Linked DNA regions of Saccharomyces cerevisiae S288C. Changing the gene in region 4 together with the main gene of any one other region gives a genetic interaction. Each region holds a gene or a part of one and is shown on either strand. Other genes may lie near its edges. The genes, in order: PUG1, YHL048C-A, RBG2 and ZNF1.

What was found.
Region 1: mutations in ZNF1 (region 4) and PUG1 together harm fitness more than expected from each alone (negative genetic interaction), as found in Saccharomyces cerevisiae (one large-scale study listed by BioGRID).
Region 2: mutations in ZNF1 (region 4) and YHL048C-A together harm fitness more than expected from each alone (negative genetic interaction), as found in Saccharomyces cerevisiae (one large-scale study listed by BioGRID).
Region 3: mutations in ZNF1 (region 4) and RBG2 together harm fitness more than expected from each alone (negative genetic interaction), as found in Saccharomyces cerevisiae (one large-scale study listed by BioGRID).

Annotation. Positions count from the first base shown.
Region 1 is NC_001137.3:556,108-563,823, reverse strand, and holds PUG1 (Pug1p), read right to left. Parts: upstream 4,371-7,716; coding exon 3,459-4,370; downstream 1-3,458. Other genes in the region: YER186C (uncharacterized protein), read left to right, coding at 1,199-2,119; TOG1 (Tog1p), read left to right, coding at 5,144-7,528. UniProt on the Saccharomyces cerevisiae protein: Involved in inducible protoporphyrin IX influx and heme efflux.
Region 2 is NC_001140.6:3,567-10,737, reverse strand, and holds YHL048C-A (uncharacterized protein), read left to right. Parts: upstream 1-4,940; coding exon 4,941-5,075; downstream 5,076-7,171. Other genes in the region: ARN2 (siderophore transporter), read left to right, coding at 525-2,387; COS8 (Cos8p), read right to left, coding at 3,192-4,337; YHL049C (uncharacterized protein), read left to right, coding at 6,197-7,012.
Region 3 is NC_001139.9:842,133-849,528, reverse strand, and holds RBG2 (Rbg2p), read right to left. Parts: upstream 5,676-7,396; coding exon 4,569-5,675; downstream 1-4,568. Other genes in the region: ATF2 (alcohol O-acetyltransferase), read left to right, coding at 1-700; ERG1 (squalene monooxygenase), read left to right, coding at 1,106-2,596; YGR174W-A (uncharacterized protein), read right to left, coding at 2,788-2,874; CBP4 (Cbp4p), read left to right, coding at 3,124-3,636; transporter YIP1, read left to right, coding at 5,938-6,684; methionine--tRNA ligase MSM1, read left to right, coding at 6,978-7,396.
Region 4 is NC_001138.5:24,411-32,853, reverse strand, and holds ZNF1 (DNA-binding domain containing protein), read right to left. Parts: upstream 4,623-8,443; coding exon 3,225-4,622; downstream 1-3,224. Other genes in the region: YFL051C (uncharacterized protein), read left to right, coding at 2,314-2,796; DAK2 (dihydroxyacetone kinase), read right to left, coding at 7,656-8,443. UniProt on the Saccharomyces cerevisiae protein: Transcription factor that regulates respiratory growth and plays a critical role in stress adaptation during non-fermentative growth.

The DNA.
Region 1 (7,716 bases), on a different chromosome or scaffold from region 4:
TTCTAGCAATTGTTTGTTCTTATATCTTACACCTTACATGCCCGCAAAGGGATGATCTTACTTTCGACAGGTAGATGTTATATCAAGATATAGATGATCTTTGAAGTCAAAATGATGGCACAGTAATCACTCATTTAGCTATTTCTGTAGTTAGTTTGTATAATGAAACGATATTAAAGACAGGGATCACATACAAGTTAAAAATTTTGTATAATCAAAGAAATAAAATATCTTCCCTTTACTCTTCTTTGCATTATCCGCCATTACACTATCAGACACTGCAGAGCAATAAATCAAGTAAAAGAAAATTTTTTTAGTATAATTCAGCTTCAAGTGAAGTGACTTCGAAATTGAAACTCCATTACTGTCTAATATAAAATTTGATGGAAATCGAAGTTAAAAAATCATCGGAGAATATAATCTAGCTAAACCAACAATATTTTTATTGTACAAATCTTCGTTTTACGTACCGCACCTGACCAAGTGGTTCGCAAATTTGCGAGTAATTTTACGTCTGTATGTTAAGGCTTGTCGGGATCTACCCCTCTTCTTGTGTTCCTCCTAAATTTCTATTAATTATATAAAGATTGGCATATGACAACGAGAGAAAATTTTATACAGAACAAGGTTACAGGTAAATTGTAACACATATTTGTTACAATAAGAGTAAAAAAAGTCTTTCCGCAACACGCTATACCTGATGGATGTTTTACTCGAATTAATAAAGTTATATAATTCAAATGGTGAGTCTCTTCTGTTTTAGCTAATTATGCACCTATTTTCTACGACTTTAAAAGTTTAAAAGATCCAAGTCGAGTTCTGCCTGAATTTGAAACTAATAACAAGCCTTTATTAGGTTTTGGGAAGGGTTTCTTGATTGCATTATACGTCTTAGAAGAGGATGAGGCCCAAGGTTTTGATTTTCTTGGAACGCGCAACCATCATCAGAAATAAAATAAAATTATTGGTTGACCTTTTTTACCTAAAGGAAAGTCTGAAAATGCTGTTGCAACAACGGCAGCGCCCTGCTTTAAGCAAGGCACGTGGTCCACCAAGAAAATAACTAAGAGGATGAATTCTCCTATTTTAAGCCAGGAAACTAGTCAGTAACATACGCCAAGGAAATGAAAGCATAGGATGCGGGCTGATTACCGAAGTCAAAGGTTCTAGTATATGATCGAGTTCTGTAAACAGTATCATGCTGTGGCATCCTGATGGTTACGAGCCTCGAGTAAAGGCTATAGAAGAAGAAATCTACGCTAACGAAGACAGGAAGGATGTTCCGGATAAGTTTAAATTTGATACTGTAACGAAAACTGGAATGGTCAAGCTTCGTGTTTTCAAAGACGATCTAATATTCAAATCACAACGATCTATAAATCTGTTTGCAAGTAGGAAGCATCCCTTCAAGTCATTTACGGCGGATGGAGAGGGCTTGCCGTTATTTGCCTTCCGCACTAAGAAGCCTTTTTTTGTTAGGCGAGATTATGTGGGTTTTCTTTTTTATCAATACGAGATATTGAAAAATGGGGACTTCCCTGAAGAGTCGGATTATGAGGTAAAAGGAGAGTGCGACGGTTTCACTCTGTTTAAAGTTCTTTTTTGCACTGTTAAGGTGAAGAAAACAAGCTATTATCGCAATAAGGAGAGAATATCCCACATACTAGAGCTCAACTTCGGAAAAAAGGAAGATTTTAGGATATTGACACTGGTTAGATGCTCTGAAATTAGATCAGTATATGTTGTAGAGGATAAAAAGGTTATTATGAAATGGGTTTTCACCTCAGAGAGTAAATTTAATTTGAATTCCTCACTGTTCATCATAAAGGCCGCAATTGGCTGTTTACCAGAGGTGGGTGATAGCATAGAGGACATACCTAAATTTGATTGGGACTCCTGCCCTACTATTGGATGTATGTGCAGAACTAAGGAGGCTCTTTTTCAACCTGAGTCTCGAAAAGATATGCATATATGCCCTCAATTATTTTTAGGGGAAACCGGACCGCCACATTATAATGAGAGTTCAGTTCCGTGGCTAACAAAAATGAATATATGCATTTCAGTGCTAATAAATTTCCTTGAATATACCGATTTCATGTCTTGGATGCAGGATAATTAGAAATTTCTATTTAACACTGCAGAAAACTGTGTTCATTTAAAGAAATTCTTGCGGGTTAATGCTATTATGATATTTTCTGTTGATTTGGTGATAAATTATATTATATGCTATATACTAATTCCTTTGGAAATAAAAGAAGGCCTTAAAATTACCCTGCGGAGGGGACTATTAAATAGAATCATTTATATGAATACTAAGGAGAGTTCAGTATCAAGATAACAACGAAAGTTTGAACTGCTAAAATTATTTTCAAGTATTGCTGACCGTTAAGAAATTTTCTGCTCCATTAATTCATTGAGGCGAAGACAAGCGCACTTTTACTCTTGTGTTTATAAAGCTAAATGACATTGTGGCTCACTTCAATAGCCGTACTCTTTGAACTAAAAAATAATTCTAAGACACTGAGTTTCACGTCAATTGAAAAAAAATATATAACACCAGCTTCATTACATGTTAGTGTGCCTTTAATTTGGCGTTAATACATTCTCCTTGACACATACTATACATTGATTCTGTGATGAGTACCGATATAGGAGGCCGATGTGCTGTTCTTCTAGACGAGTTTTTTGTAGCTAAATGACATAGGTGACTGCTTTAATTTCGTAAAGCACCAAACTTCAAAGGCTCTGTGTACACTCTACAGCCGTGACTGAGAAAAAGGCTAGGTACTTTAAAAATTTCCTACAAATATAGATCAGGGAGGGCAGTACTTAAAGAAGAAACTCCTTCCAAAGGGTCTGGAAATCATTATTAGGGCCGTCATTACGACTTAAGAGCACTTTGAAATCAGTACCCTCTGTTCAACGTGAACAAAAATTTTCGCCACACGACACTTTTCTGGATGGGCGTGATTGTATTAGCTGCCATGGTTCAGTAGTCTTCAATTCAGTGACATACTTTATTGTCATGAGACCACTCAACAGCAACAATATAAGAGCAGAGAGACATTCCAAGGGACAAGAAGATATAAGTTTTGACGTTCAGGAATCTTTTATCCAGTCTGTCTTTATTTGAATGTTTTATTAGACTTCAGAAGTATCCCGATATGTACAAGAATCTTTCTCAACGAGCTACTTTTCTCTTAATCTTGATTGTGTTTGTGATGCCACTTAACAATGCGGAATCTAACGAGTGTTTACAAATATTTTGTTCTCGGCGAAAAATTCAATACATTGCCTTCCTTTTCGGTGCATGATTGTACGGCTGAGAATGGAGAAATAGTACCGCCTAGATCTTTCGTTTTAATGGCTTCAAAGCAGAAGAGGAAAGATTTTTATTCTAAATGAAGTTAAAATTGATTGGCTGCACTACATAGAAATCAAAATTTGATATATATTATCTAATTACTTAACGTTTGACACTCCTTTATAACATCGAATACGTTGCCGAAAAAGGATCCCACACTAAATGCTATTATTACCAATAACATAGGTACAGCATCGAAGACATATATGAAATACTCATGAGAGATTATATAGCCATTGAATCCCTGAATAAATTCAACTATTCGGACAATTGAACGTAGTAGGATCAACATACTGCTTAATAATAGGGTAGCATTCACAAAGATCCACTTTCTGGAAATATCTTCGTAAAATAAGCATCTCCTTTTAACATTTACTGTGAATCTTATCTCATTGATAATGAAAAATCCAAAAAAAATTACCTGTACAAAAAGACCCGCAGTTATGAGTCCTGAACCAGTCTTCGTTGATCCTGCCTTAGACATTAGTCCGCCACCTGCAGCTTGTAAAAAGAAACTAAACACATCTCCCACAACAAAGAAAGTCGTACCAAAGCGTGCAGAAATCAAAATTAAAGATTGGCACCTCATAACATGTAATAACCTTCCAAAAATCATATAAATCGTCGCAGCTATTAGTGCTGGAGCGACTAATAAAAGAACAGATTGGATAATATATGGGGTCGTTCTTTCAGGATTGGAACTGGATAGAGCCCTCCCGATATACCCGACAGCTTCCATGATGCAGCCAGTGAAGAAAGGTATAAACGCAAAAACTGTGGGTGTGATTTTTAGTTGCTTGTATTCAGCATCCTCAAGACTATCGACCTTATCATCAGATGACTCAAATGGATTATTTTTCAATGCCTTAGAAGATTTTCTCGCAGCATATAAAGTTTGAACGGCAAAAATGACTGTCATTATAATGAAGAGTACGACAAATACGATTGCAGCCGCTTTACTTGGCGTATAGTGGTAAAGTACGAACCCCGAATCAGTTGTGGACATTTTGGAACGTTGATGGACAATAAAAGATTAAGTAGCTATGTAATTGGACACTATTAACCTACTATCCTGGACATTTTGAGGCAAGAGACTATACATCCCACAATTGATTCGGTAGGTGCTTTTATACTGATTCATTTGAGGTCTTGGCATTTGTTCAATTGAAGTACATTTAGTTGAAAAGTTGAGATTTATTTAGGATGAGCTTGCCGCGGCATGGGGAAAGAAACACTTCATCCTGTATGGAGAAAAACCACTTTGCCGCGGCACATCAAAACAGGGCTGAAACCTTCAGTATGCGCGATACCATTACACGACAATCGCATGGCTTAGTCATAATAGATCGAGGCGCTCATATACATGGCAGCCACAATATTTGAAGGTCGACAAATAAGGACAATATCAACGGTTAGGATACCGAAACTTGAATATGGCTGGTTTCTCAGGAACAGCCGATACTGTCCTGATCTTAACTTAAGGTGCGGTGAAGTAACCTGGATTCAACGCTGCATGAAAGACCTGATTAGGCTTATTTGATAATCCAACAAAAAAAGTGATTGGTTGGTTTGCTAGTATTCAAAAATAACTATTTTGGAGTACTTTGTTTGTTTGAAAGGCTGGGTAATAATTTTTTTGATGTGTGCTTTGAACAGTAAAAACTTTCTTCCTTTCTATAAGCTAGAAGCAAATCCAAATCTCATCGAATAAGCGCATTAGGTTAACGACATTATTGTTGTTTAAATTTTAAGCTTTTTAGCTTTTTATATTTTATTGAGATGGCAGCAAAAAGAGGATTAGCCAAACAAAAATCTAGGGTAACCAAGGCCTGTGATAGATGCCATAGGAAAAAGATTAAGTGCAACAGTAAGAAGCCATGTTTTGGGTGTATTGGGTCTCAATCAAAATGTACGTATAGAAATCAATTTCGTGAACCGATTGAGGCTTTTTTCAATTATACTGGTAGTCTCAGTAATGATTTGGATAATGCTAAGTGCAGCATAGCAAAATTGAAGGCACAGTTACCTCCAAGCGCACCGGCCTCTTTACAGAAAGGCCTAGCAAACATTTGCACTGAGCTTGAAAAAATACAACCTCAGCTTTACCTCAATCTGGACAGTAAGGAAATTAGCTCGTATGGTGGCCTGAAATCGATAGAAACAGAAATTATCGGGAAACAGTCAAAATCTTTGAATAGGTTCTCCAACGCTTTTGAAAGCAATACTGCACAAAATGTCAGTATGTACTTTGGGGTCTATTCACCGTTGCTATATTTTGCCTCTACGGGTATTAGCTGGATAACTAAAAAATTGATTTCATGTTCGAATGATAGGGAGACGAGAGAAACTATCTATTTATTTTTGAAGTTTCTTGACGCTAGCTCTGCTAGCCATGCTGGTCCTAAAGTAACTTCGATATCTCCTTTAGAGTATTATTCAAAGCTAAACGGACTTTCATGTGGGAACGACGTACTTATTCAACACATTATGTCAAATATATCGAATGAAATCAAAGGAAATACAAACATTAACCAAACAATCAAATTCAATAAACCAACAGACTGGTTTATGTACGGAGTACAATTGATGGAACAGCACCACAAGGCGTTGGATCGTAAAAGTTCCAAAAAATTACTTCCTTTGAAATATTTTCTTGAGCAAGATGAGTTGATTTTTTGTCTCTGTCTTGAATATTTTGAAAGATCCCTATTTTCGACAATGTACGACTTGACTATTTTAAAGGGCTTAGTCTCGTTGATGAAACACAGATATTGGATAGACGATCCTTTTGTGCTGGGAAGAATTATTTCCACGATGTCCAGGCGAAGTTTGGATGCTGGTTTGAATCGTTGGGAATATTATATTGGTCAGGATGAGGACACTGCCGAAGAATATCGTAAGTTATGGTGGGACTGCTACTGGTGGGATAGATGGTATTCATTGGTCACCGGTAAGCAGCCATTGATACCACATGAAATGACTTCGTGTCTCTTTCCCAAGGATGTGGTTGGATTAGGGGTAGATGATTCGATGGACTGTTTTACTTTAATAAACTTGGTGGAGCTCGACCCAAGTAAGTTTGATATTTGTATCTCTTTCGGCTATATTCTATTAACGAAAATTATTACAGCGGTATTCTCTGGTTTGCTTTATAATCGACACTTTACAGACTACAGATTATTTGCAACTCCTAACGCTAAAGACCTAAATGGAACCGCACGACAGCTTATGGTAGAGTTTTCAAAAATATGTAAAATTTTTCAGTGCATACAAGACAAACTAATCCCTTTCCTCAAACAATATTCTGAAAATAGTAATGTATTTGAACTATACACCCATTTCGGATTTGCAAAGGTTTGTTGTTTTCAGGGAATGGAGAGTTTAATTTTAAGGATACAAAATCTTCTACAAGAAAGAGAGAGAATTGAACTTGATTCCTGCGTAAAGGACATCAGGCTTCAAACCTTTGAAGCATCTGTAGATATTTTGACGGATGTTCTCAAGCACGAAGATACGTTCTATATTTTCCGTTGTTCGTGGTTCATATATGCCATCTTGATGAATATTACCTTGAATTTTATCGAGACCCCTAGAAGGAACTCGATATGTTATTTATCCTTGATGTGCCGCATGATAGCCTCATATAATGACTTATTTGTGAGCTCTGGCAATGTTAATTTCAAGGGCAACAACGCCTTCTCTAAAAAGTTGGAAAATGGAACAGCGGTTTCTTTCATCCTAACACGCATCTGCTGTCAGATGTACACACGTTCACAGAAAATGGCTAAGGAATCGCTGTTTTGTGAATTGAAAAAATATGGCCAGGCTTGCTCAGATGCTGGTCAAGCTGCGTTGGACATTGAATGTATCTGGTACAGGAATATTATAGGCGAACACAAAGAATCAAGCTTCCGTAAAGAAATTCTCAGCATTCTTGATAGGGAAATGGGTGATTTGGTGAATAATAGAGTTATTGGCGTACAGGGAAAAAATCAAGAAGGTGCTTGTTATGAGAAGTTGTCACCCAGCAGCACCAGTGTTTCAGTTGGCATGGACTTTTGTAGCCTCGAAAATTTTGTGACTGCAGAATCTCTACCAGACCTTCTCAATCTATTTTGGGAGGACACTGAATTTGGTATTACTAAAGAAAACCTCGGAGAGTAAAAACCAAGTATGCACCTAAACAATTGATCACTTTCAATTAGGAAATAAAATCCCTTGATTTAGACGAATACTGTAGAATGCAATAAAAGGTTTTGTGATTCTAATCTAGTCCCTTACGTTATGCACCGCTTTCAGGAAGGTTATGGGCTGTACCATGAAATCAAAGGTGGCTCATAACTAGTAAGTAA
Region 2 (7,171 bases), on a different chromosome or scaffold from region 4:
ATCCGTTCTCCCTCTACCTTTGCTATATACAAACACCCGGTATATAAGCACCTATCTCAAGCAAGCAATCAGAAAATGGGTGCAGTTCTTAGTTCACAGTAAGGAACAAAAAAAAAAGAATAACTTTGAGCGTCCGTAGGGCTCCGTGCTTTACCAGTATGTCGTATATATCTTTAGAAGCAAAGCTGTGGCTGAAGTGATGGGTCCTGTTATGCCAGTAACTTGCACCTGCTTTAAGAAAACGGAATATACTTTCAGAACGTAGTCCGTAACAACCCTACTGGAGTTTCTGTGCTCCGATTCCACAAATCTAAGACAGTTACTCACTAATCTGCACAGAAGCTGAAATGATACAGCTTTTCACTAAGGGCAAGTTAAGAAGATAACGTGGTGAATTTTACCCAGTAGCCTTTTTACACCTTACTTTTTTCTATAAAGACATGAGATCCTGGTAGAAGAACTTTGCTTGTGTCCTTTCCACTTGAGCTCCAAAAACAGTTGTAACTCTTTGGGCCAAAGGAAATATGATCGAAGTCCCAGAAGACAATCGTTCTAGCCAAACAAAGCGTAAGAATACTGAAAAAAATTGTAATGAACTGATGGTTGATGAAAAGATGGATGACGATTCGTCGCCCAGAGATGAAATGAAAGATAAATTAAAGGGAACAAAATCATTGATTATTCGTAAGTCTGAGCTAATGGCTAAAAAGTATGATACTTGGCAATTAAAAGCTATATTCCTGTTTTCTGCATTCATTTGCACTTTCGCTTATGGATTAGATAGCAGCATAAGGGGTACATATATGACCTACGCAATGAACTCGTACTCCGCACATTCTCTCATTTCTACAGTAAGCGTCATAGTTCTAATGATATCTGCTGTTTCACAGGTGATCTTTGGAGGGTTATCAGATATCTTTGGAAGGCTAACGTTGTTTCTTGTATCCATTGTACTTTACATTGTGGGTACAATAATTCAATCTCAAGCATATGATGTCCAGAGGTATGCTGCTGGAGCTGTCTTTTATTATGTGGGACTTGTCGGTGTTATGCTACAGGTTGTTTTGATGTTGTCTGATAATTCTTCATTAAAATGGAGGCTATTTTACACATTGATACCTTCATGGCCCTCGATTATCACTACGTGGGTCTCAGGTAGTGTAGTGGAGGCAGCAAACCCGTTAGAGAACTGGTCGTGGAATATTGCTATGTGGGCGTTCATTTTCCCTCTATGCTGTATCCCATTGATTTTGTGTATGCTCCATATGAGATGGAAAGTAAGAAATGACGTGGAATGGAAAGAATTACAGGATGAAAAATCGTACTATCAAACGCACGGATTAGTACAAATGCTGGTACAGTTGTTCTGGAAGCTAGATGTTGTCGGTGTGTTGTTGTTTACTGCTGGTGTTGGTTGTATTCTTGTACCACTCACTCTTGCTGGTGGCGTCTCTACAAATTGGAGAAATTCAAAGATTATCGGGCCCTTTGTGCTTGGCTTTGTCCTGGTTCCAGGCTTCATATATTGGGAAAGTCGACTTGCTTTGGTTCCTTTCGCTCCATTCAAGCTGCTAAAAGATCGTGGCGTGTGGGCCCCATTGGGAATTATGTTTTTTATCTGCTTTGTATATCAAATGGCTGCTGGGTATCTCTACACCATTCTAGTAGTTGCGGTAGATGAGAGCGCTTCCTCAGCTACAAGAATAATAAACTTATACTCTTTTGTGACTGCTGTTGTTGCTCCATTTCTGGGGCTCATCGTTACGAGATCATCTAGATTGAAGTCGTATATTATTTTTGGTGGCTCACTTTATTTCATTACTATGGGACTATTTTACCGCTACAGGTCAGGTCAAGACGCCGATGGAGGTATAATTGCTGGTATGGTTATTTGGGGTCTCAGTAGTTGTTTATTCGATTATCCTACAATTGTTTCTATTCAGTCGGTAACATCCCATGAGAATATGGCTACTGTCACAGCATTAAACTATACAGTTTTCAGAATAGGTGGAGCAGTTGCAGCTGCCATTTCCGGTGCCATATGGACGCAGTCATTGTACCCTAAATTATTGCACTACATGGGAGACGCTGACCTGGCTACAGCAGCATATGGCTCACCACTAACTTTTATTCTTTCCAATCCCTGGGGTACTCCAGTTAGGTCTGCGATGGTTGAAGCTTACAGACACGTTCAAAAATACGAAGTTATTGTTGCGCTTGTATTTTCAGCGCCTATGTTCCTTCTAACATTCTGCGTAAGAGATCCTCGGTTGACTGAAGATTTTGCCCAAAAGTTACCTGACAGAGAATATGTCCAAACCAAGGAAGATGATCCTATCAATGACTGGATCGCGAAACGTTTTGCAAAGGCCTTAGGCAGGTCATAAGAAAGATTTACAAAACCCCAACAGGATATGTGTTCGAAAAAATGATCTCTGATATGCGCAGTAATTTTTGTATGGTACATAAGATGAAGCAAGATAAGTGATAGTAATATTTGTTACCATGTATATGTTTAATGTGATAACACAAAAGCGTAATATGAGTAATGTTTCAGTAATGTTTCACACATAGAAAACATATAGTGGAAAACGTATTGTAGCAAACCTCTAATCCGGTAGTACTTGAGAAATTATAGCTTCTGTGTACAAAAACAGTACCTATGTAATTCTTACATTTACATAACATATATAAACTTACTACATTATGACATATAAGCTAAATCGTAATTTACTACGTCAACAATATGTCATAGTGTAGTGATATCATTTGCGATTATATCCTACAAAAAAAAAGCACTTATATGACCAAAAATGTATTATCTGGATTTTAAGTTACCGCTTTAATATATGATGTTCTAATGTGAAGCCTGTGTACATATTGATTAGTATGAAAACATTATTGAACTTTCATGTTAATGACACCATGGCAGTATTCTTACCCCAAGTAAAGTGTTTCAGTCTTATTGCTAAAGGGTAGAATATTTTTATATTTAGGTGATTTTAGTGGTTATTTTTCTATAACAAATATTGAAAATAAGTGTTTTTGAATTTAGTGGTTATTGTATGGTGTAAAGTGATAAAACATATGCGAAAAGGAGTATTAATAATAATAAACAAGTAAAATACGTTTTGACTTACTGATATTCGATCAACTACACATAGTATATTTTGGAAAAGGAACATTTGTTCCTACTTTAGGGGCTTCTCATTGCGGGCCGATTGCGCTTCTTTAATGTATGGCCATAGCTCAACGTTCAACGAAGCAAACCACATAGGTTTTTTTAAAGATAAGAGACGATAGAAAAAGCGCCTAAAAAACCATTCGCAGTCAAGTCCATCGTAGAAAAACTCTTCATTATTCCAGACTTTTTTCTCAAACAAATACCTATTCATTTTCTTTGCAATTTCGTCCCATCCATTCGCACCACTTTCTTGCTCATTTATAATAGTTGACAAGAACTGCATCTTGTGTTCCATTTTCACGGATAAAACAATCATCCTCATATTTTGGAAATCTCTCGTCATGATAAAAAACATTACTACCGGAAACAAGAAACGTGATATAAGGTCAGCATTTCCAGACGTGTAGACAATTAAAAAATAATAAAGGAAGAGTGGTAAACACCGCAGGTTGAAAATCCTTTTAAGAATCCAGGTAAGCTTAAATCGGTAAGCTTCTTTGGGGAGCTGAATGTCTTCCAGGTCGAAAGGACTCTCTTCCTTCTCAGTATTAAACAGCTTCCACTCTTTGTCAAATCCTGCAGCATACACTTGCAAGGCCTCTTCGATATAAGGAACGGAATCCTTAAATGACTTAACCTTTGCAGATTCGTCTTTTTTTAAAGAGAAGGGTTCGAGAAGGGTTGTTTTAAACGCTTTTTGGCAGCTCATGGCATTGAAAAAAAAGTACTTGGTATTCCAAGTCTTATTTTCATAGAAGTACGAATTTAGATTTGCTGCAACGACTTCCCAATCATGAGGATCCGAACTTGGTGTGTCTTCAGTAATCTCTTTGCAAAACTGAATGAGTTGTTTCGATAAGGAACGCTTACGAGAAAGTCCACAAATAACAAGGACAAAAAATGGTCCCAGGAACAGGACAAGAAGTGAAACTATAAGTGGGTGAATCCAATTGCTGGAAAGTTTCCACCAGACGCTAAGTGGTAGCCATAACAGCATCCAGATGCGAAACGCTAAAGACTTGTAAATTTCATAACAAAACCAGGTCAATTCGTTTCGGAAAACATCTTGAGGTAGAACGGTCTTTTGGAATTCGAGCTGTTTGAAGGATAACACATCTACGCTTTTCTCATCTTTGACTTCATTCTCTTTCATTTTCGGTAGTGAGATGGCAGTTCGAGGGGTTTTTTATTCGAAATAGTAACTTCTGACTTTTCGCTTTTATACAGCACAGCAGAAAAAAAAAGCCGCCGAGGCGCGCGCGTTCATGCAATGGCTCAGTAACCTCGTGATAGAAAAAGGGAAACAATATTGGGCTATTTTAGGCAAAGAAACTCAGCTATTCGAAAAGGGCATCCATTTCATTTCCGGTTTTCTATCTAGCCAACTCGATAATCGTAATAACGAATTTACAAAACTTTAATGCGGGTGCATCACGGTGTGCCGTAACTTTGGTTTACATTTAAGGTGCGACCAGCAATGTCACTGCTCGTACAGCGGTTACCGCTTGAATGAAATACATATTTTAAGCGTAGATTTCCTGTGACAAAACTGTGTAAACATCTAGTAGAAAATAGACGTAGCTGTCACAAATATTTACACAGGAAAGAGTCCGTCCTACGTATCTGACATGAAGATTCATAGAACCAAGTTACTTACAAATGTGGACAACCTTTCAATACCATTTTTTATCCTTATGCTTGGTGTCACTGTAAAATTGATCAAGGCAAAACCTAGAGGTACGGTGGTGCTCAGATCATGCATGACATCTGGGTAATCACCACTTCTCCCGCTTGCTTTGAGATTCTGTATAAATATTGCAAACAAAAGGGTAGAGCACGGATGGGAGGCCTTATAGTAAAAATTATTCGTTTTAATCATGCGTCAGTGTGAGATTCTATGACAATAGTATGAGAAGATAGGGTGAAGTAAAAGCGTCTGTATGACTATAGAGTACAGTTATATTACAATATATGGAATAGAGCATAGTGGTATGACGGTATTAAGGAACATTTAAGTTAATGACGTCATGGTGGTATTGATACGCAATTGAGTGTGTTTATGTACTATGGTTGAAGGATAGAATATTTTTATGTTTAGGTGATTTTAGTGGTGATTTTTTTGTAATATTGGCATAAGTGTATATAAATTGAGTGGTTAGTATACGGTGAAAAAGAGGTATAACGTATGTATTAAGAGCAGTTATACAATATTTGGGGCCGCCGAATGAGATATAGATATTAAAATGTGGATAATCGTGGGCGTTATGGGTAAATGGCACAGGGTATAGACCGCTGAGGCAAGTGCCGTGCATAATGATGTGGGTGCATTTAGTACTGATTTAGTGAGAGATGGGTCATGGAGTGGAGTAGAATGTGAAAGTAGGGTAAGTTGAGAGTGGTATATACTGTAGCATCCGTGTGCGTATGCCGTACCAGTATACAAGTGCAAGTGAGTGTGGCATGTGGTGTGTGTGGGTAAGTACGTGTGTATTATTTACGATCATTTGTCAACGTTTCAACATGGTGGGTGGGACATGGAGCATTAGGAAGTGACTTGGTACGCCAAAAAGGGCTCCTCTACCTCAGCGGGGTAATAAAATTTATCCACGAAGCGGCTGAGCAACGAACAGAATCCTGGTTCTCCTCGACTAAGCAGACGGTTAAGATACTGTGCACCATGGAAATTGAAAACGAAAGCACGTACCGACTGCTTTATTTTTGCAGGCCGGAAATCAAGCGATGAATGAGACATCCTTCTGTTTTCTATGTTGGGACAGACAGTCGCTTATCTTAGTGAGATTTCTTATTAACTGAATTTTCTTTGCTGCTGCTGGAGATTTGCACCTGCATAGCGCAGATTCTGCTTCTTCTCAATAGAGTAGCTTAATTATTACATTCTTAGATGATGATAAGACGGAAACTGGACAATCTTTTGTTTATATTGATGGATTTCTTGTCAAAAAGCATAACAATCAACATACTATTGTTAATTTCGAAACTTACAAAAATAAAATGAAAGTTTCCGATAGGCGTAAGTTTGAAAAAGCAAACTTTGACGAGTTTGAGTCGGCTCTAAATAACAAAAACGACTTGGTACATTGTCCCTCAATAACTTTATTTGAATCGATCCCCACGGAAGTGCGGTCATTCTACGAAGACGAAAAGTCTGGCCTAATCAAAGTGGTAAAATTCAGAACTGGTGCAATGGATAGGAAAAGGTCTTTTGAAAAAATTGTCGTTTCCGTCATGGTCGGGAAAAATGTACAAAAGTTCCTGACGTTTGTTGAAGACGAACCAGATTTCCAGGGCGGACCAATCCCTTCAAAGTATCTTATTCCCAAGAAAATCAACTTGATGGTCTACACGTTGTTTCAAGTGCATACTTTGAAATTCAATAGAAAGGATTACGATACCCTTTCTCTTTTTTACCTCAACAGAGGATACTATAATGAGTTGAGTTTCCGTGTCCTGGAACGTTGTCACGAAATAGCGAGTGCCAGGCCGAACGACAGCTCTACGATGCGTACTTTCACTGACTTTGTTTCTGGCGCACCTATTGTAAGGAGTCTTCAGAAAAGCACCATAAGGAAATATGGGTACAATTTGGCACCCCACATGTTTTTGTTACTACACGTAGATGAGCTATCGATTTTTTCTGCATACCAAGCAAGTTTACCTGGCGAAAAGAAAGTCGACACAGAGCGGCTGAAGCGTGATCTATGCCCACGTAAACCCACTGAGATAAAGTACTTTTCACAGATATGTAACGATATGATGAACAAAAAGGACCGATTGGGTGATGTTTTGCATGTGTGCTGCCCAAGTTGAGAAGAGATACTAACAAAATGACCGCGGCTCTCAAAAATAATTGACGAGCTTACGGTGATACGCTTACCGTTATCCAGAGCTACAGCGCAACGTATACGTCGACGATACAACAAGAACGGTTCATCGGAGCCTCGACTAAAGACGCTTGACGGACTCACT
Region 3 (7,396 bases), on a different chromosome or scaffold from region 4:
TAAGCAAGTAGAACAAATCAGAGCTCAGATCAAGAAAAATGTTCACGATGGGTGCACCCTAACACCCTTCATTCAAGCGTGCTTTCTTGTAGCCCTGTATAGACTGGATAAGCTGTTCACAAAATCTCTTCTCGAGTATGGGTTCGATGTGGCTATTCCAAGCAACGCAAGAAGGTTTTTACCAAACGATGAAGAGTTAAGAGATTCTTATAAATACGGCTCCAACGTTGGAGGTTCGCATTACGCCTATCTAATCTCCTCATTCGACATTCCCGAAGGTGACAATGACAAGTTTTGGAGTCTTGTCGAATACTACTATGACCGCTTTTTAGAATCGTACGACAACGGTGACCACTTGATTGGTCTGGGGGTCCTACAACTTGATTTTATCGTTGAAAACAAGAATATAGACAGCCTTCTTGCCAACTCTTATTTGCACCAGCAAAGAGGCGGTGCAATCATCAGTAATACAGGACTTGTCTCGCAAGATACGACCAAGCCGTACTACGTTCGGGATTTAATCTTCTCGCAGTCTGCAGGCGCCTTGAGATTTGCGTTCGGCCTAAACGTTTGCTCCACAAACGTGAATGGTATGAACATGGACATGAGCGTGGTTCAGGGCACTCTACGGGATCGTGGCGAATGGGAATCGTTCTGCAAGCTCTTCTACCAAACCATCGGCGAATTTGCGTCGCTTTAATGCGATACTGCCGTAGCGGGCCTTCGTATAGCTCGGCCGAGCTCGTACAAAAGGCAAGCAGTGTATCGGACAGAGCTGATATAACACAATACGCTCGTAGTCGATGCATGCCGTGGCTGCTCTCGGTCGGGTATAAGTCTTAGACAATAGTCTTACCTCGCATGTATAATAAATCTTTTGTATTTAATCTATTATATGTTTCTATGCTTTTTTTTCCTATTGTTGTTTGCTTTTCCTTTTCCTTATTTCTTTCTAGCTTCTAATTTTCTTTCTTTTTTTTTTTTTTTTCATTGAAAATTATATATATATATATATATCAGAACAATTGTCCAGTATTGAACAATACAGGTTATTTCGAACAATTGAAAAAAAAAAATCACAGAAAAACATATCGAGAAAAGGGTCATGTCTGCTGTTAACGTTGCACCTGAATTGATTAATGCCGACAACACAATTACCTACGATGCGATTGTCATCGGTGCTGGTGTTATCGGTCCATGTGTTGCTACTGGTCTAGCAAGAAAGGGTAAGAAAGTTCTTATCGTAGAACGTGACTGGGCTATGCCTGATAGAATTGTTGGTGAATTGATGCAACCAGGTGGTGTTAGAGCATTGAGAAGTCTGGGTATGATTCAATCTATCAACAACATCGAAGCATATCCTGTTACCGGTTATACCGTCTTTTTCAACGGCGAACAAGTTGATATTCCATACCCTTACAAGGCCGATATCCCTAAAGTTGAAAAATTGAAGGACTTGGTCAAAGATGGTAATGACAAGGTCTTGGAAGACAGCACTATTCACATCAAGGATTACGAAGATGATGAAAGAGAAAGGGGTGTTGCTTTTGTTCATGGTAGATTCTTGAACAACTTGAGAAACATTACTGCTCAAGAGCCAAATGTTACTAGAGTGCAAGGTAACTGTATTGAGATATTGAAGGATGAAAAGAATGAGGTTGTTGGTGCCAAGGTTGACATTGATGGCCGTGGCAAGGTGGAATTCAAAGCCCACTTGACATTTATCTGTGACGGTATCTTTTCACGTTTCAGAAAGGAATTGCACCCAGACCATGTTCCAACTGTCGGTTCTTCGTTTGTCGGTATGTCTTTGTTCAATGCTAAGAATCCTGCTCCTATGCACGGTCACGTTATTCTTGGTAGTGATCATATGCCAATCTTGGTTTACCAAATCAGTCCAGAAGAAACAAGAATCCTTTGTGCTTACAACTCTCCAAAGGTCCCAGCTGATATCAAGAGTTGGATGATTAAGGATGTCCAACCTTTCATTCCAAAGAGTCTACGTCCTTCATTTGATGAAGCCGTCAGCCAAGGTAAATTTAGAGCTATGCCAAACTCCTACTTGCCAGCTAGACAAAACGACGTCACTGGTATGTGTGTTATCGGTGACGCTCTAAATATGAGACATCCATTGACTGGTGGTGGTATGACTGTCGGTTTGCATGATGTTGTCTTGTTGATTAAGAAAATAGGTGACCTAGACTTCAGCGACCGTGAAAAGGTTTTGGATGAATTACTAGACTACCATTTCGAAAGAAAGAGTTACGATTCCGTTATTAACGTTTTGTCAGTGGCTTTGTATTCTTTGTTCGCTGCTGACAGCGATAACTTGAAGGCATTACAAAAAGGTTGTTTCAAATATTTCCAAAGAGGTGGCGATTGTGTCAACAAACCCGTTGAATTTCTGTCTGGTGTCTTGCCAAAGCCTTTGCAATTGACCAGGGTTTTCTTCGCTGTCGCTTTTTACACCATTTACTTGAACATGGAAGAACGTGGTTTCTTGGGATTACCAATGGCTTTATTGGAAGGTATTATGATTTTGATCACAGCTATTAGAGTATTCACCCCATTTTTGTTTGGTGAGTTGATTGGTTAACTACAGCTTATAAGGGAGAGAGGATAGGAACCGTCAAACATTAAGCTGCACCTTTTTTTTTTATTACAGAAGTCGGCTTGGAAGGCTTGTATAGTACATTACGATAAACACATCTTATTTTTATTTATTACTTATTTATTTTACATATTTTCAAAAAAATTCACATATCATTTATTATTAACCGAAGTGTTTTATACTTTTTGTTCTTTCCTTAAAAATGCCTCCAACAGAAAAGGAAAAATGGCTTGATATGCTTCAAAATATGCATTGAGATTCATATTCGGTTATCAATTAACGATATTACTTCCTTAAGTGATATTAAATCAAGCTTGCCGGATTCTGCAGTCAGAATTATACATAATAGTATTTGTGCTCTCGTAAATCCTTTCAGAATTACACCATAGTAGTCTTTGTGAATGTTCTACTTATTAGAATAGATTATTGCTAGTTTATCTCACTTTTCATTCCCCATATCCCTTTTTTTGCTCATCCCCCGGGGTATTTTATCAAGATAAAATTTTATATACATGCAGTGCGCGATAACTCCTAGAGAGGCAGTAATAGCAAAACAAAGACAGTATAAGCATTATTTGGGTATGGAAAGACCATTGTGGGTACGTTGGTTGAAAGTCTATGCAATTGGTGGCGCTATTATTGGAAGCGGGTTTCTGCTTTTCAAGTACACAACGCCAACAGATCAACAGTTAATCAGCCAGCTTTCCCCAGAATTACGTTTACAATATGAGAGGGAGAAAAAACTACGTCAGTCGGAGCAGCAGGCTTTGATGAAAATTGTTAAGGAAACTTCTCAAAGTGACGATCCAATTTGGAAGACGGGCCCCCTTCAATCACCTTGGGAAAGGAACGGTGATAACGTTCAAAGCAGAGATCACTTTGCTAAGGTGAGGGCGGAGGAGGTGCAAAAAGAAGAGTTGGCTAGGATCAGAAATGAACTGTCTCAGCTAAGATCTGAAACGGAGGAGAAAACAAAGGAAATAGTCCAGGATAAGCAGGTTAAAAGCTGGTGGCGCTTCTGGTAGATGGGTCGGGTCACTCAATTAGGAAGGGCAGCTTGAACTTTTGCATCCTAAAACATACGTCTGTGTCATTTATGATATATTATTTATTTGTACACTGTAAATAGGTTTAAAAATATAACTTCATACTTATTTTTAGCTATTTTAGTTCCCATACTTGGGGATGGAAAAAACATTGCGCAAGCCCGGAATCGAACCGGGGGCCCAACGATGGCAACGTTGGATTTTACCACTAAACCACTTGCGCTTGTTATTTATATGAGATTATTGCATCATGCAATGGGGTAATGTCAAGGTTCTTGACAATCCTAATATAAACAGTCTTAGGGAAGTAACCAGTTGTCAAAACGGTTTATCAGCTTGATTCACGGGATCTTACTTATCCTATATATTATATAAAATATGGATCATACTAAATGGTGGAAGCGCGGAATCTTGGATCTAAACCAATTGTTCAGATACTTATACGTTAGAGTAGGTTAGCTAAGGAAGGCAGAGTTTTATTTTCATGTTGCTCATTCTGTTCGTTTTGCTGTAAGGTTGTTTCATATGTGTTTTATGAACGTTTAGGATGATGTATTGTCATACTGAGGTATCCCATTCTGAGATACAACAGAGAAGGTTCCTTTATACTTACTACACTAGGTACCACTATTATAATTTCGAGATTTCATTGTCATTCGGGTTTATTTATTCATTTGAAGCCCAGAATGACAATTTTTATGAACGGAGCTCTTCAAATTACATTATAAAAGTATATACGAATATACCATGAAAGTAACACCTTCCGGTTCTCACTAAAAAACCTATTTTCAGCATTTATTTCTACTACAAGGAAAATGAGTCCGTTTAGTCATGCAAAATCTCTGCTCCGTACTACAGTTCTCGATGCTGATCTTGTTTTTTCATGTTTCTTTAAAATCTATTCATTTATACTATTTCGCGAATAAAGAAACTACATCTTCATCATCAATCCTGTGGTTTAAGCCGCACTTCTGAGGAGAATGTTTGGCAGAAGAACCCCAAACCAATGCGTATTTGAACTTATCTTTGAAATCCCTGTGGATACCATGACATAAGTCACCAATAGTGGAATTATTTCTTACCACTAGAGGATCATCAAATACTGGTCTAACACCTCTCTTCTTTGTATACACACGACTCAAGTTCAGCTGGTACCAAATTTCTTCAACGACGTCTTGTAATCCCAAATCCATTTCACAGGACATAACAACGGTGTTTGGCTCTCTGGCAAGTTTATCCACCTCTTCTAATGATACTGCATCTATCTTATTATACACATAAAGACATTTGACATAATTTCTATGTTGTTCGTTAATAACATCGATAAAATCATCAATCGTACATTGGTCATCTCTTACCAGAACTTCTGCATTATGGATACGATAATCTCTCAAGATCATTTTGATTGCCTGTTCGGTTAAATTGGTCTTTGGAGGGGAGGTAAACGTAACTTTCACGCCACCAGTTTCTTTTTTCTTATAGTAAATATTTGGTTTCTCTTTATTAAGCCTGATGCCTACATTTTCCAGCTCCTTCTCCAAAGATGCTCTTTGATGTTCACTCTTTGTGGCATCTAAAACCATTAATACTAGATCTGCGGTCCTTGCTGTTGCAACAACTTGCCTACCACGACCTTTACCCTGCGAAGCACCATAAATAATACCTGGAAGATCCACAATTTGGATTTCTGCACCTTGGTACTTCAATACACCAGGAACGGATGTCAATGTCGTGAAAGCATAATGAGCGATCTCAGACTTGGTGGTGGTAATTTTACCCAATAAGGAGGACTTACCGACGGAGGGGTAACCTATTAAAACTACTCTAGCGTCACCTGATTTTGCCACTTCAAAACCAGACCCTCCTCCACCACCACTACCAGCTTCATCAGCTAGCAGTTGTTGTCTGTATCTAGCCAATTTCCCCTTCAAAAGACCCAGATGATGTTCTGTGGCCTTATTTTTTTGGGTTCTGGCCATTTCTTCTTCGATGGCTTTGATTTTGTCGATAATACCCATTTTGTAGTGCTTGTTACGTTAGTTTTGATAATGCGTATCTCGTTAGTACTTGTTCAATTCCAATATCAACAGCTTCAATATTGTACGACTTTTATAACTGGGTTTAAATCTCATCGCTATTATCACGAAAATTTTCACTTCGGGTAACCATTGATTATTTTGCTATTTGAGTGAGGTAACTACGTGACACGAACCAAGTCATCTTATAACAGCTACAAATTGGACGGGAAGTACTGCAAGACAACTATTAGTCCCTCTCGAGATGTCTTTCTACAATACTAGTAACAATGCTAATAATGGCGGTGGCTTTTATCAGCCTTCTGCACAATTTGCCGTTCCCCAAGGGTCAATGAGTTTTCAAAATACCGTCGGTTCTTCTAATACTGGCAACGATAACAATTTGGGTGTTGCCCCCGACCCTTTGCCTGTAGGTATTTTACATGCTCTTTCAACTAAGGGATATCCACATGAACCTCCATTACTGGAGGAAATTGGAATAAATTTCGATCATATCATAACGAAAACTAAAATGGTTCTTATACCAATACGTTTTGGTAGTGGTGTGCCACAAGAAATTCTAAACGATTCAGATTTGGCTGGGCCTTTGATATTCTTTTTGTTATTCGGACTTTTTCTATTGATGGCTGGAAAGGTTCATTTTGGATATATCTATGGTGTCGCTTTGTTTGGTACCATTTCTTTGCACAATCTATCGAAATTAATGAGCAATAACGATACTTCCACTCAAACGAACCTACAATTTTTCAATACAGCGTCCATCTTAGGATACTGCTTTTTGCCTCTGTGTTTCCTTTCTTTACTGGGCATTTTCCATGGTTTGAACAACACTACAGGTTATGTTGTATCAGTACTATTTGTAATTTGGAGTACTTGGACCTCGTCTGGATTTTTAAATTCTTTGCTCCAATTGCAAAATGCAAGATTGCTAATTGCCTACCCACTGTTGATTTTCTACAGTGTTTTTGCCCTCATGGTAATTTTTGTCTGAAGGGAATTGGCTTAGGGGCGATATTTGTATATATGTTTTTCTGAACTATGTTTGAATAAAGAGTGTATACAGCATTACATAATCACACTTACTTCCTTGTATAGTGCAAGCAATACCAGTACTAGGCAACATTGGATTACGAAGTGCCTTCTCTTTCTTTAAAAACTAAAACGTAGTCCAATGGTGGTTTCAAACAAATAAATCCGCACAACTGTGAAAAAAGAATGTAAATTTTAATGTTACTATTCTCCAGAGGTAAATAAGGAAAGCATAGGTTTTGATCGAAAGAAAACATGCAATGTCGATCAATTGTGCATCGTCTGTACTCTAAGGTCTCCCACGTAACGACGCCAATTTTCTATCCCAATGCCAAACCGCACCTCGGCCATCTTTACTCCAGCTTATTAAGTGACGTTTACCATCGATGGCAATTATTTAAAGGTAATCTATCCTTCTTTACCACAGGTACTGATGAACATGGATTGAAAATCCAGTGTGCTAGTGAAAGCAATGGCTTCGATCAGCCAAAAAAGTTCGTCGATAAGCTATACCCAGAGTTTGTTCAATTAGACAAAATATATGGCATTAATTATACAAGATTTATAAGGACTACGGATCCTGACCACATTGAAAACGTGATGAAATTATGGGAACTTTGTTTGAAAAATGGCTATATTTACATGGGCGAACATAAGGGTTGGTATTCCATTTC
Region 4 (8,443 bases):
CTTTTATGATGTATCTATATTGTTAAATAAACGAAGCCTGACAGTGGAACTGCGCTTTTTTTATCTTCCTTACCATGACTACCATTTATGAGCGGAATAATCATATCATTTTTACGAAAGCACCGCCTAAACTCAAAAATGGAAATTAGTACAGGCGTATTAAACCAAGAAAATAGAAGCTGTCGCGATACTTATTTACAAAATAAATCTACGTGGCCACATACACATGAAAACCACAATAAACTTCTTGCGTTAGTAAATAACTATAATTTGTATGCCTGGTCAGATTTCTACAGACAGCAAAGACTCCAATAAGCGCTAAATAAAAAGTCAGCATTTTGAATAATCATAGACAAGAACTCTTTTGTCGGAACAATTTACGTATTATTTTTCGAAACATTTCTTTCCCAGATAACATTGAAAACAGAATTTTGAAAGAAATTGCCGAAACCGAAACAGGATAACAAGATTAAACGATGCTATAAACCCCACTGGTAGTATGCAGAATACCTCTTTTTACCCCTTTAAGAGACATGGCATACATATTCCACAATGTGCACTAAGGAGAGTCAACTGCTCACAAAAATGTTAGTCATTATAGAACACCTTGTGAAATTTCGATCGATATCAAAAACCCACACATTTTGTAGACTTTATATGGGGAGAAACTATCGCTCTATCCCGCCGCCTCCCTAAATTCCAATATCCAGACTTTTATGCTTTTCAAATCATGCCATCTAATACTAAAAAGCGCAGGCGTTGTGCGCTTGGTTTGTGTAAGTTAACCAAAAAAGTTAAAAGTATAAGTCTTCTGCATCAAACTAACAGAAAAAAAATTTTTTTTACACTTGAAATGGTTATTGTCTGCTTATTGTGAAGTACGAACATCCTAACAAACGTTGTATGTTGCTTTCTGCGTTTTTCCTTACAGTGCTAGCGTAGAGAATATGAAAAAGAGGGAAATTAAGCAACTGCTTTTTCTATGATTTACCACTGTGAGCCCAAAACTTAACGTGCACCAACACGTGTGCGGCAACCTGGCTGGCCTCTCAATGTAGAAGTAACTGGTTTTCTTCTTGCCCTTTATTTTCTTGTTTTTTAGAACCAATCTCGAGCACTTGGATAATGCAAAACAAATACAATCTATGTCTTCCACACCATCATTTTACTATGCCTGCCACCATACATTTGTCTTTTGCACCATATCTTCATAACCTGTCACCTTGAAACTAAAAAAATATTCACAATGGTGCATGCTTGAAGCACAAACTAGATTAATTTGTTGAGTAAATCATGTGGTTCCAAGGAACAAAAAAAAAAATGCATTACATCACGTTCCTTGCTCTGTATCTCTTCACCTGCAATTACTCAAAAGAAAAAAAGAAATATAATTTTCCTTTGAGCACCCTTGGTAACTTATCTAAGAACACGCGATGTAATCGAAATTTAATAACCTAAAAAAGAAATAGAGATCGGTGACGTTTGACGCTAGCCAATCTCCACGAGATTTATCTGGAAGGGCATCACCCGTCAAAACACTAAGAAATTTGACACCTTATTTTTTTTTCTCCGAAACGTTCTGAGACGTTTCTTTTTTTTTCAGGACGCCACCCTAAATCCGAAAAACCTTACTTGGCATTAGTGTTGTAAAAATTTCTTTTTTCCATCGTGGTTCTGAAAAGCTTGCAGAAAAAAAGTTCGAGAACGTTTTCGTATGACTTATTAAGCTGCCCTTGAACTTGCCTTCCCTCTTCTTTACTATTTTCAGCCAGGGACAGAAATAAAGCAAAATCGTTTAACTTTTATGACCGTAACAGGTAACAATATCTGCTCAATTCGGTTAGTAAAAAAAAAAAGGTTATCGTAGGTTTACTATTTTCACATCGGTGCATAGAATCTATACTCTACTTCCTTTGGAGGGAATTTAGTAGTGCTCGATTAGCAGATAACAGCGCAGGGTTCTATGTAGTACGAAGCACTATCAGGTTTTTTAACGTACGTGAGTTGTTTTTTGTTTCTAATTTTTGGCTTGCCTGGGATAAACGGTGCCCATCAAATTATTAAGACCTGGTGAAAAGAGCGTACCTACATGGGTATCGGGGTTTTTGCCAGAAAGAGCTTTAACTGCAATTGATGCCTACCGGAGATTATTTTGATATCAAAATGCAGGAACGATATCTACTTCCCTAAAGCAGAAAACAAAACATTTTTTTAAAAGTCTTTCTTATATAAAGGTAACCTTCATTTCATGATAGCCAGATGATAATCTTAATGTAACAATTGGAGGATACCAGCATCCCTCCACACCTTCAAATGTCTATACCCCATTCCGTATTTTCGGCACTCTTGGTCTTCGTGGCGCTAGCTACTACAACCTTAGCCAGTACAGAAGCTTGCTTACCAACAAACAAAAGGGAAGATGGTATGAATATTAATTTTTATGAGTACACAATAGGCGACCAAACCACATACTTGGAGCCTGAATATATGGGCTATGAATACTCCAATACAAAGAAGTTAGGTTCCGTTAGCGGACAGACCAATCTCTCCATATACTATAGTCCGCCTTGTGAGAGCACTCCTACCTGTGTGACTTATGCAGTTTTGAAGCGTGATGAGGATGGATATGATCCTTGCGGACCTCTTTATGAAACTAAAAAACGTGACACTGAATACTGTGACCCAAATACTGCCTATTGGAGTTCTGATCTTTTTGGTTTCTATACTACTCCAACTAATGTAACTGTGGAAATGACAGGGTACTTAATATGGAGTATGGGCAACCGACGCCGTTGAACCTCTCCTTGGAGATTCTGATAATTTTATGACCATGACTTCTCGTGCACCTTACAGGAAACTTTAATGGCCTGATAAGTACAGCTATATTGTGATCACAATTATTAAAAACTAACTCATTTCATCTATAACCAAGTACAAATCGCACGACTATCATGACGATAAAAGCGTATATCCTTGATTTAATTCACATCACAATCACCCCCCTTGAAAAAAAAATAAATTTTTTTTCTTGCTATAATAGCATAATTGTCCACAAGTTCACTATTAGTGCTATCATTCTTCCCCACTGCCGCAAAATTGCAAAGGAAATAATTGTTTGCCCTGCAGGAACCATATACTAAAGAAGAAATAGATGCTATTAGCCTCTTCAACTGTCCGTAATCACTACATCTTGAAAGGTAAAATGCAAGTAGCAATGTGTTTACTTAAGGAAGCGCATCTACATCTTCTTTAGAACCATCTGTCGATTCAAGCGGATTAGAAAGAGGAAGCGTGATAAGCGCACACTGACACTTTGTCGTAAACTTATCAACTAATGTGCTATCACAATGCTTAAGAGAGAAGACAAATTTGGATATATCGAACAAAAAATTCCAAGCCTCCGACTCTGCATTTTGATCGTACTGATTCACAACATCTACCAATGCGTCGGCTATTTCTAGTGCTTTCACTGATATCCCTGGACCGTGAACTGCATAAAGATTTTTTGGGATTAAAAATGTGTCTTCTAACATGTCTCTAGCAATTTCTACTGGAATATGCGTATTCTTGCTATTTGAAAGGAAACTGATTCGCATACCGCTTATTTGAAGCACTAGCTTCCAAGCAAGTGTTCTAATCCAATGCCGTGAAAAAGATATGTCTACATAGCCGTAAGACCATGGTTCTATCTCAAGTGGCACCGTATGAAGTTCCCTCCATATCTTTTTAAGGGAGTCTTCAGTACAGGTTACATTAGCAGAGTCGGTAGCTAGAGCATCAAAGAAGCATTTTCCCGGTACAGTAAATACCCTAATCATCTCCAAGAAGCTGTCGAGAGATAGTCGGGGGTCCGTTACGTTCTCCGGTTGTGGTGGAGCAATCGTGGTATCCAGGCTCGTGGCGCAATGCGTATACACAGAAAAGTATCTTTCCGTTAAGAGAAGCAAATAATAAACTTTCCTTCCAAGCTGCTGCTCATCGAAAGGAAGAAGTTTCAAAGTTTCCTCGCGATGGAACCCCGCCAACTTAATGAGCCCCACGGCTTCACAAGAAAGCCGATACGAAGTTCTTGAGTTGGACATCTGTGCGTAGCAGCGGTTTAGACAATAGTACGTCATAATCTTGAATATATCACTACCGTTAAAATCGTCAAATTCTTGGCGTGATGACATGCAGAAACTGGATAACTGTATCCCAGTAAAGGTAACCCCTCCTTCCGACTCAATTTCAGTCTGCAAATCGCTAAGCGTGGCGGCAGAAAGAGATACCAGGAACCAATACACACAGGTTTCGTCATATCTTTTCTCTAAAAGTTCGTAAAGATCATCATAACACAGCAAAGGCCAGATCACATACAACTTATCATTATAGAGCCGCAGACACTGATCAATTAGTGCCTTTGGAACCTTCATTATGCCACCACTACTACTTTTACTAAATACCTGTACATCATCTACTTTCTTTAAATTTCTCACCTTGACGGGTTTTGGACCTCTTTTCTTCAAAGGTCGAAGATATGTACATTGCAGATTGTGTTGAAGACAACATTTACATGGTTTTTTACGATCACACTTTACTCGACGAATGCAACAACAGTCGCACGCTTGTCTATTGCGGGCCATCTTCGAACTAGAGCTCTTTTACTTTAGCTCTTTTGACAAGACAATGAAGCATTTCTTGAAGGTTTTCTTCTTTTCTCCGTATTTAAGTCAACAAGATATAGCTAATTTATTAAGCCGGGGGTGGGGAAAAACGCGGTAGTAACGTGGGGTACTTTAAAGTGGGGGAGATGGCACAGACAAAGCCGCAGGTACCTCGAGAACTCAGGGGAAAAAGGAACGCAGTTCAATAAGCTACCGATTTGGCAGATCTCAGGAGTAAAAATATAAATCTTAGTGCACATACAAGTGATAACTGCAACTCCAGATTTTTCTTTCGGTCGATTCGTTGATGCAACAATGTCGAAATTATAGTTAGGCGTTTGTTCCTGTAATTTAACTTCAAGTGGAGGAGTCAATGTTCTTTCCTATGTTCTATTTGTGGGATAGAAAAGTTAAAAAGAAGGTTTTTGAGTATCCCAGTGATAGTGCAGTACTACTTCTGTGTATTCCCGATTATTACAACGGCGGAGTTTTTTTCGCATAAACTCAGACTACTAAGTAACTCTCGAGCATCGTGAAGATCCTGATACTTTATCTATGCATTACGTACGGAACGGAGTGAGGCCTTTCTCCAGAAAAATCGTTGAGATGGCATGTAGGTTCTAGATTTGTGACGACACTCAACAAGAAAAGTTTGAGGTGAATATCTTACCCGCGACATCTGGAGCGAGAAGAAAGCCGTAATCGATAACGTATTCTCTCAATGCTGTGGCGTTTCAGTAGTATTTTGTTATTACCGACGAAAACGGTTCCTCAAGAAATAAAATATATCTAGAGGTAAGTTGCAAAACGCTAGACTATTTATGGCAAGATTAGTATTTGCTGTCGTGATATCATAAGTAGAGACACATGTTCAGCTTCTCACTTGAATTTAGGTTAGAACAAAATCTTTAAACAGCAGTTACAATGAATGTTTGGGAGACCTAGTCAGTCTCCATACTGCCAAGAAAAAGGTTAGTCGAACTGGAAAAACAAGGCTGTACTGCACCCTAATGTTTCTTAGTAAGCAATTCGCTATCGACGCCGAATACCATGAACATCAACCTTGTGAAAGCTTTCGCATATTGGCGCTCAAGAGATATAGACGGTACTAGTGAAAGAGAGACAAGGCCGCCGGATTACTTGCTCTCGTCATTGTAATTGTTCAATTTCACAGACATTTCTCTGGCATGTATCCATTGGGGCACCACAATAAGGGAATATTTTACAATATCGTAAGCTGTTCGTAATACGCGGCTTCTCTTTACTCAAAGCCCAATGAATCCTGGCTTCGAAAATCATACAAACTGTGAAATCTACTTATTTGAAATGACAAACACTGCTTCCCAGTCTGGAGGCTCTCTTTGAGGATAACTAACATGTATGGCTAAAAATAGTTAAAATAATTGAGACGACATTGCACTTGCTATAATCAGACTTCAATAACATATGCATACAAGAAACTTCTCTTTTGAAATAGGAGCGGGGCTCCATCACAAAGAGATTGAAATTTGATACTAGCTCTAAAATCGAGGCAGGGATGTTCCAATGATCGAGTTTGTCATGAAATATAAGGATGTTCACGTCAAGCTCGAGAAATGTTTCAAAATACCGCGAAATAACTCAAAAAGCTGGGTCACGAAGAAATGATTCTAGAAACAGGCGCTTATGCTCTTATATAATGAGATGTCTACATCGTCAGAACTAAGTGCGAAGAATACGGCCTACATTAGAGATTCTTCAAGGTAGTGAAACGTATTCGTGGCAGTGGTTATGGAACTGCCTTACGGTTGATTCAAAAGACTCATTGCATACTCAATTTAAAACGGCTCAAATCATTTGAAAAAATAATAGGCAATATAAAATAGAGAAATCACAGCACCTTGACGGACTGATATTACGAATAACGAGTATCATTGCCAAAGTTTGGCGTATGGGCGACGTGCGTCCATGCAAATCTACAGTAGATATTTTCAAAAGAGATCATTGTCAAAAAGATAACTAACTACTCATGCTTTGAGGGCATGCAAAGTTTCCAGAAAAAAAAAGATGAACCACACTTAAGCTGAAGCAAATTATAAGTGTTGAAATGACTAGGCGCAGTTAATACGCAACTCAATCAGTCAACACAGGCTGGTTACTTTCTAAGTTACAGCATAAGTTTAGAGTAATTATTGAAATCTGTTGATATAGGTTGATTTCTTAGATGCATGAAATGCAGCAAGATCTTCATATGATTTCAGAGATTAGTCAAAAAGTTGTTAACAGTCATGCATAATATCACTAATTGGTAGAACAAGAATCAACTACTTTATTTGTCAATATTTTCAGAGAAAAATTGATGTATAGGGTTGACCATAAAATAATGAATGACACCATTTTTTTTTTGAAAGAGAAAACAAGATACAAACATTTAAAATATGCTGTTGAGTTCAATGCCTTCCATGAATTAATAAGATTAGGAAAAAAAATTACAATACATTCTATACTTCTAATACTACGATCTTTATTGAAATCGAATCCGAAATAAGAGAATCATAAAACTTAGATTGCTATCCTAGAACTTGTTCATAGTATCAGAGAATGTGCAGATCTTCTAAAAAGGAATTGAGACTATTCATAGGTAAGAAAACAGCGGGGAAAAGAAAGTTAACACCTGTTTGTTGACTTGCGAGAAAAAAGAGATTGGAATGGATTTAAACACTCCGATTTAATTTAAAGAAAACAATGGCTATTCAAAAAATCTTCCTGGACAAATTATACTTCCAGACAACACAGGGGAACGGAGAAGGAATCAAGAAAAGTAATTGTAGATTGCAGAAAGAACAATTAAAAGCTGCAAGAAGCATTACTTTTTAGCTTAATTTGCGGTACTTCATCAATTCGTATATCTATAAAAATATATTCAGAGACACAACTAGTTCACCTTCAGTTGGAGTATTCAATTTTTTAAAAAGTTCAAAAATGAAAGCCTTTAAAGCTGTTATGTTTGGCTTCTAGTGTGTACGAGCAATTCTAGTACCCAGCAGCTGTAACAAATCCATCGAGTAGTGCAGCAAGACCAACTGCTCCTGGATCTGGTAATCCACCTTCGCTGTCGAGTTTTCTCAGCTCCTCCTTAGCCACGTAAGAAGCACGCCCAACAAGGGCATCCATCTTCCTTGTCTTTTCGGCACCATCATAAGCAGCTTGGGCGGCGGCTCTGGGACCCTTCCCGGCTTTCAGCGCTTCGACAAAAGGTTGCAGAGCATCGATCAGAGTCCTGTAACCAGGACGGGCTCTCGTATACTTATACAAAGCATCTAGTGCAACGTTTGATGCCTTTTTGAAAGTTTCCGCAGTAAGTTCCTTGTCCCCAGAATCCCTAACTCCTTGTGCGAGAGCAGAAAGATAGATAGAGTACAGACCACCGGACGTACCACCCATAGAATCCTCAACCATATACGCAATATCTTCGATACCAAGAGCAGCATCCTCGAGGCGCAACGTATGGTTTTTAATAGCTTCTTCCAATGCTTCACCACCGGACACAAGAGTAGTTCCGCAATCACCATCTCCTGCAATGGTATCGTACCAAGTAACCTTTGGTTCAACCTCGTTAATTTTTGCAATCCCAGCAAGCAAAATTTTAGCAAAAGTGTCATAATCAGCTTTCACACCCGAACCTTTTTCATTCCTCAATGTCTTTAAAGAGGGGGCGGTGGGAACCTGCCCTTTGGCAAGTACCTCCCAATCTTTGGCAGAATGGTACATTTGATTCCATCCACTCGCTGTGGTAGGATAATCGAAATACTTAAGGATAT